2 linked regions of the Macaca mulatta genome follow. The protein of the gene in region 2 interacts with the protein of the main gene of each other region in a pairwise test. Links are inferred from orthologs where the notes say so. Each region holds a gene or a part of one and is shown on either strand. Other genes may lie near its edges.

What was found.
Region 1: the proteins of TRIM38 (region 2) and RFC5 interact in binary tests that used the Homo sapiens proteins (3 or more experiments, as listed by UniProt). The link is inferred for Macaca mulatta from reciprocal best matches to the Homo sapiens genes TRIM38 and RFC5.

What each region holds. Positions count from the first base shown.
Region 1 is NC_133416.1:125,292,798-125,296,612, forward strand, and holds part of RFC5 (replication factor C subunit 5), read left to right. Parts: intron 1-2,040; coding exon 2,041-2,200; intron 2,201-2,930; coding exon 2,931-3,012; intron 3,013-3,815. UniProt on the Homo sapiens protein: Subunit of the replication factor C (RFC) complex which acts during elongation of primed DNA templates by DNA polymerases delta and epsilon, and is necessary for ATP-dependent loading of proliferating cell nuclear antigen (PCNA) onto primed DNA.
Region 2 is NC_133409.1:157,140,288-157,144,102, forward strand, and holds part of TRIM38 (E3 ubiquitin-protein ligase TRIM38), read right to left. Parts: intron 2,493-3,815; 5' UTR 2,463-2,492; coding exon 2,052-2,462; intron 1-2,051. UniProt on the Homo sapiens protein: E3 ubiquitin-protein and E3 SUMO-protein ligase that acts as a regulator of innate immunity. Acts as a negative regulator of type I interferon IFN-beta production by catalyzing 'Lys-48'-linked polyubiquitination of AZI2/NAP1, leading to its degradation.

The sequences.
Region 1 (3,815 bases), on a different chromosome or scaffold from region 2:
CCATCTGATGATACAGGCAAGATACCTCTGCAGTGGGACCTTCCCCTTCAGCAGCCTAAGGACTAAGCCCTGCGGGGACTTTTAAGTCTGGCCAGTCACTGGTGTTCAACCTCCTTTGACACTGGGTTCAATTTCAGGGTTGAGAATTCATATCTTTCCATGGGATGGGGTGTGGAAAATCTTTCATCCCTAAACTATCGGATAGTCCTTTCTGCTAATAGTACCCTTTCCTTTCTGCTAATGGTACCCTTTGAACCACAATAGCTAGGAGAAGAATATCTGAAGTTGAGGTGCTCAGAGAGCTGACATTACTTCACTGCTTGCCAAGTGAATGATTTGGCGGGGGGAGGGAGAGCACCCTGCGATTTGTCTGTCTTCGGGGGCCCAGTGCAGTTCTTTTCCCTTAAAGGACACTTGTCATCTCTCATTAAGATTCCAAGTGAATCAGCTTTGAGAGAAGAACGATCTTTAGGAGCTTGTGGGGAGGGAGTAGATGGCAGCACATGTTTAAGGAAAGGACGGGGGAAGGTGGGGGGAAGAGGAGCGGGTGAGGAGGAGAAGGGGGAGGAGAAAGGGAGGAGGAGGGTAGGGGGAGGTGGAGGAGAAGGGTAGGGGCAGGTGGAGGAGGAGAAGAGGGGGTGGAGAAGGAGAGGAGGGGGAGGAGAAGGAGGACGAGGCAGAGGAGGAGGAGGTTGAGGAGGACAGTGAGAATCTCTCTGGTCCTAGAAGCTTGGCAGCCTTTCTTCGGCATCTTGTTCTGCCGAGTGACTGTCATTCTGGGCAGATCCCCATGTAAGAACATTGGGTACCTACAGAATGGAACTGGTGTCATAAGCAACTCTTTGTTCGGGTTATTGCTCCCTTGAGTGCTCTGAGGCCTCCAGACAGTCTCCATGGAAAAGTCTGCAAAAAGCCGTCCCCCTCCCTGCCCATAGAAGGTGAAGAATCATCAACCTGCCAAATATAATTTTATGTAAAAGGACAAGAAGAGGTCTCATAATCTTAATGGGATTACATGGCAAAAGTGCCAGAATCATGGTAAATGGCAAAAAGGAAGCATTTTGTAAAATTCCACGGAGGCATGTTTACCAGTTTGTGAAAGAGGAGTGGCTAGGCCGGGTGCGGTGGCTCATGCCTGTAATCCCAGCACATTGGGAGGCTGAGGCGGGCAGATCACTTGAGGTCAGGAGTTTGAGACCCGCCTGGCTAACATGATGAAACTCTGTCTCTACTAAAAATACAAAAATTGGCCTGGCGCAGTGACTCATGCCTGTAATCCCAGCACTTTGGGAGGCCGAGGCGGGCGAATCATAAGGTCAGGAGATCGAGACCATCCTGGCTAACATGGTGAAACCCCGTCTCTACTAAAAATACAAAAATTTAGCTGGTGTGGTGGCACGCGCCTGTGGTCCCAGCTACTCGGGAGGCTGAGGCAGGAGAATCGCTTGAACCCGGGAGGCAGCGGTTGCAGTGAGCCAAGATCGCGCCATTGCACTCCAGCCTGGGTGACAGAGCGAGACTCTGTTTAAAAAAAAAAAAAAAAGAGGAGTGACTAACCTCTGATCTGAAGAGGACAGAGCTGCCCTGTCTTGTTGCCGGCTGCATCTTCATTTGTTTACATTCTTTCTTTTTTGAGACAGAGTCTCACTCTGTTGCCCACGCTGGAGAGCAGTGGAATGATTTTGGGTCACTGCAACCTGCACCTCCTGGATTCTAGCAATTCTCCTGCCTCAGCCTCCCAAGTAGCTGGGATTACAGGCATGTGCCACCACACCTGGCTAAATTTTGTATTTTCAGTAGAGGTTTTGCCATGTTGGCCAGGCTGGTCTCGAACTCCTGACCTCAAGTGATCCTCCCGCCTCAGCCTCCCAAAGTGCTGGGATTACAGACGTGAGCCACTGCGGCCGGCCAACATCCTCACTTGTTTGCAGTCTTGAATCTTTTCCTATACCCTTGTGACAACAGAAAAATTCAAGTTTTCTGGACTCTGAAAAATCAGAATGGAGTTTGACATGAGGTGGTTTTATTTTCTCTTACCAGTAATTGAGAAATTCACAGAGAATACCAGATTCTGCCTCATCTGTAACTATCTGTCAAAGATCATCCCTGCCTTGCAGTCCCGCTGCACGAGGTTTCGGTTCGGTCCCCTGACTCCTGAACTCATGGTTCCCCGCCTGGAACATGTCGTGGAAGAAGAGAAGTGAGTATTTTGCGGGTCTTTGGGGATGCAGTGTAGTAGAAACAGGCTTGTGGGATGACTGATGGTTCGTATGTAGAGGAGAGGATGTTGGAAAACGACTTTGCTGAGTGCCTAGCACAGGGGAGGCACTGGGGAGCGTCTACTGCTATCATTTTCTCTGCTGTCTCAAGGCCATTCCTCATAAAAGTCTTTTGGTACTTCATTTTTCTTGATTCCATCCTCCTCCCCTGGAAGCTGCCCAATTTCCTCCTACTCTTCTTTGTCATTGGAAACTGCAGGCTGCTGAGTCCCTTCTGCAAAGATGCTTCCAGCCTTTTTAGACTAGAAGGGAAGGTTCTGAGACATCACATTCTGTGTAATCAGATGCCAAACAAGTAGCCGACCTGAGCAGCTGCTTGTTGTAAAGGAGGAGTTTGGGCTGTGTGATCATGGCTTGTGCCAGGCCTCTGCTCCCCAGAGAGCAGAATTCAAGGCGACTGGCTCCATGGGAGAATGCTTGTTCCTAAATGCAGGCTGTTCTCGTTTTGGTTGGCTGTGAGTACTAATGTGAAGCCCAGGTCCCTAAAAACCAGAGTGAATTCTAGATCAGATAGATCATGAGATTATTAACTCTGTTCCTCTCTTTCCTTCATTCCTTTAAAGCCTTAATCATTCCAGACCATCTTGTTCCTTTGGTGAATGCTAGTGCTCTCCGGGGACCTCATAAATCCCTTCTGCTTATTTCTTTCAGAGTTGATATAAGTGAAGATGGAATGAAAGCACTAGTCACTCTTTCCAGCGGAGACATGCGCAGGGCTCTGAACATTTTGCAGGTATGGTCTCAGCAAATCCTTTTGTTTTTGAGACAGAGTCTTGCTCTGTCGCCCAGGCTGCAGTGTAGCAGCACAATCTCAGCTCAGTGCAACCTCCGCTTCCTGGGTTCAAGCGAATCCCCTGCCTCCTGAGCAGCTGGGATTACAGGCGCCCACTACCACGCCCTGCTAATTTTTGTATTTTTAGTAGAGATAGTGTTTCGCGCCCTGCTAATTTTTGTATTTTTAGTAGAGATAGTGTTTCGCCATGCTGGCTAGGCTGGTCTCGAACTCCTGACCTCAAGTGATCCGTCCGCCTCGGCTTCCTAAAGTGCTGGGATTACAGGCGTGAGCCACCGTGCCCGGCCTGGTCCCAGCAAATCCTGAGTCATTGTTTTGTCATAGTTTTTTAAGAAAGACCTAAGCAAAGGCATGATCAATCTGTACATTTAGAAATCTACAACTGGTAAGACCTTGATCTCATAACCTGCTGGATTTCCCCCTCCTTACTTTGTATTTTGATTAATTGAAAAAATCACTTGTTGCAGGGCCAGGTATGGTGGCTCACGCCTGTAACCCCAGCACTTAGGGAGGCCAAGGCAGGTGGATCACCTGAGCCCAGGAGCTGGAGCCCAGCCTGGGCAACATGGTGAGACTCTGTCTCCACTAAAAAAAACATGAGCCAGCTGTGGTGGTACATGCCTGTAGTCCCATCTACTCAGGAGGCTGAGGCAGGAGGGTGACTTGAGCCTAAGAGGTCGAGACTGCAGTGAGCCGTGATCATGCCACTGTACTCCAGCCTGGGCAACAGAGCAAGACCCTGT
Region 2 (3,815 bases):
TTGGCAACCCTGAATAGTTGGTAGGATTTTAAACATCATTGCTGTGCTGTAGAAAATGAGACTAAGAAAGGGGTAAAATAACTTGCCCAAAGGGCTATGGCTGCCAGCTGGTGGAGCATTGCACCCTCATCTGCTGACCCAGAGCCTGAGCTACACCCTCCACTAGAGTCCTGCCAGGAAAAAGTTATATATAGAACAAGGTAATCATCATCTAAAAGATTTTGTAAAATAACATGCTGAACCAAGCAAAACCAATACCAGTGTTTGGCACACATGAAATTTTGTGTCTTATGAGTCATGAAAAATCAGGATGCCAAGTGATTTGAAGCTGACCCAAATTGCTAATTGTAATCAATGCTAAAAGAATTGTCTCCTGTCCTCTCTAAACCCAACAAGTATACTCATTAATTCTCGAGCATTCTCAGGAAAGGGCTCTATGTAACTGTTTTAGCAAAAGATGACATTGTCCTTGCTATATGCCAAGTGCTATTCTATGCATTCTATATTTTAATGTCCTCAAAGCTTATAACCACCTCCTGTGTGTGTGTTTTAGGGAGGGAGGACACTGCTATTATCCCCATTTACAGATGGGGAAACCAAGGTGTCAAGACATTAAATAACGTGCCCAAAATTGCCCATCTAGTAAGTGACCAAACTCAATTTCAACATAAGCAGCCTCCTTTTCTTACTACTTGGTGGAAAAGTAATTCAAATTGGAATATCATCATTGCAGTTATTAGCTGTTCCATGGAGTTTAAGGAAGAGCTGCCATGAGCTGAGTAGGGGTCAGGATTGACATGTCCTTAGAAGGACTTAGAGCCTTCATACAAGACCACCTCTGTCTCGTGGAGGACAGAATAAGGAGCCTGACACAGGGGGCAACATTTTCCTCAAATCTAGGCAGGACAGAAAAGGAAAAAGGACATCAGGACTATGCCCATTCCTCCATGCTGCCAACAGCAAAGTCCCTCCTTCCTTAATATGCTTTCTGGCAAGAAGCCTGGATGGTACACAAAACCTCTCCCTCTGCTTCACCTTCCACAACCAAGCATTTCCAAATCTTTTACTCTTCTTCCTGAATCTTGCTTAAAATCTGCCCTCTCCTCCCTTTCTTATATGGATAGTTTGAATTTTACTCCTTGATATTCCTTTTATTATAGACATGCCAGAGTAGCTGAGCACTGTGGTTCATGCCTCTAATCCCAGCATTTTGGGAGGCTGAGATGGGAGGGAGATCAGGGGTTTGAGGCCAGTATAAGCAAGAAATCCAGACCATGTCTGTACAAAAAATAAAAAAATTATCCGGGTATAGTGGTGCATTCCTGTAGTCCTAGCTACTTGGGAGGCTGAGGTGGGAGGATTGCTTGAGCCCCAGGAGGTTGAGGCTGCAGTGAGCCGAGACTACACCATTGCACTCCAACCTGGGACACAGAGCAAGACCCTATCTCAAAAAAAAAAAAAAAGTATAGGTACCAGAGTGATATTTTCAATGTCACTGACCCTTCATTCCCCAAATGAAAATCCCCCAATAGGTGTTCAATTTTTATGTGTCCTTCAAGAGTTACTTCTGAGATGAACCACTCCCTACCCTAAATGTCCCTCCCCACCACCAAAACCAGGGACCTCCAGGCAGACATTTTTGATGGTTTATCTTCTTTACTAGACTGTAGATACCTAAAAGGTAATGGGTCTTTCTTCCCTGTTTGCAGGCCCTACTGCATGGTTTTACATATTGTGGTTTTTCAAATGATATTCATAGTGTGAAGCAAGAAAAAATGCGGGTGTTTGGTTTGAGAACAACCTGTTCTAAAGCAAGGAGAAATTCATCATAACACAGATGGATAGAGATGAGTCCAACCATCCCATTGAAGGTCAGAACGGACAGTCTAGATAATTTAGCAAGAAATCATCATAAACTATTTTTCAGAAGAATGACATGATGAAAGCTGTATTTCCAAACCATAATATTAGGTTTCAGGCTAAATCATCTCAGCTCCTGGGAGCAGGATAAGATTTGGTACTTACCAAGGCCCCCTGACCCACACACTCACCTTGTAGCCCTGGCATACATCTTCAACAAGAGCTGTGGTGTGCCCTTTGTGCTGTGGTGCCCGCTCACAGCGCCAGCAGATGAGCTGCCCCTCGTCTTCGCAGAACAGGTGGAGCTGCTCTCCGTGTTCCTCACATGACATCTCTTGATCCATCTCTTTGAGGGCTTCAATGAGGCTTCCCAGCTGCTTGTTCGGTCGGAGGCTATGCATGTGAAATGGAGCCCGACACTGGGGACAGCAGAACGTCTCCTGCCTCAGTCGCTTTTGGCTTGGGTTTTTAAAGAAGTCCGTTATACACAAGTGGCAGTAGCTGTGTCCACAGTTGATGCTTACTGGGTTCGTCATCAGGCTCAGGCAGATGGAGCAGGTGGCTTCCTCCATCATCTTCTTGGTGCTGGTGGTTGAGGCCATAGCTTTTATTGAAAAGCTCCAATGTTGGCTCTAGAGATGGAGATGAAGCAGCCAGAATTTTTACCATGATGAAAATACACCTCACCTGCACCTCTATGTGATGAGCTGGCTGCTACTGACCTCCATAGGTCTTGAAGGTTTTCCTTCCAACCCCTATTATCTCATTTTGTATTGAAGAAAAGAGGACTTAAAAGGAAGAAGCTGAGGCTGAGTTTGTTTGGGCCACGATTGAGAACTGCAACCCAGATGCAGAGTTTCAAGTTGTCCTCGTTAGCAAGCAGTTGCAAGTGGTTATTTAACGGGAAAAAAAAGCAGTTTTAAAGCCGTTTTTAAAATTGTTTACCAAGAATTTACATTAAAATAGCATAAGCTTTTGATTGGCTATACATTGTTCTTTTTATTACAAATCTCAGGAACATGTAGGTAATAGATGAGGCAGCCAGTCAGGAACAAAATGCTTTTAAACATGGGGTCTTAACTGAAGACCCATACTCCTGTCTCACTGGTCCTGATAAATTTTGCATACCTCACATAGCTCAGACTGCTCTAAACTATTTTTCTTTTCTCAGTCTTCTATTTTTTTTTTTTTTTTTCTAATGAGCCAGAGTCTCACTCTGTCGCTCAGACTGGAGTGCAGTGGTGTGATCTCGACTCACTGTAACCTCCGCCTCCCCGGTTGAAGTGATTCTCCTGCCTCAGCCTCCCGAACAGCTGGGTCTACAGTGGTGCGCCACTACGCCCAGCTAATTTTTGTATTTTTTAGTAGAGACGGGGTTTCACCATGTTGCTTGGCCAGGATGGTCTCGATCTCTTGACCTTGTGATCCACCTGCCTCAGTCTCCCAAAGTGCCGAGATTACAGGAATGAGCCACTGCACCCGGGCTCTTTTTCTTTTCTTATGAGACAAGTTCTCGCTCTCTTGCAGTGCAGTGGCATGACCACCGCTCACTGCAGCCTCGACCTCCTGGGTTCAAGCAATCCTCCTGCCTCACCCTGGCAGAGTGGCTGGGACTACAGGCATGTGCCACCATGTCCAGCTAAAGTCTTCTCTCCAGAAAGAAGAAATGCATTAGAATTTAGAGGACGCATAAACGTCTAGCTGTGTAGCTAATACAGTAGCCACTATCATGAATGGGAATTTAAATTTAACTTAATAAAAATTAAAATGAAACATTTAGTTTTTCTGTTCCACTTGCCACATTTTGATTGCTTAATAGTTGCATGTGACTAGTGGCTACATAACAGCCTCAATATACAACATTCTGTTATCACAGAAAGTTACCTTGGACCAAGTGCTGGGAGAAACAATGCAGGCTTCCTCACAAAAGCTGTAAAAGAGAGAACTCAGGGAGT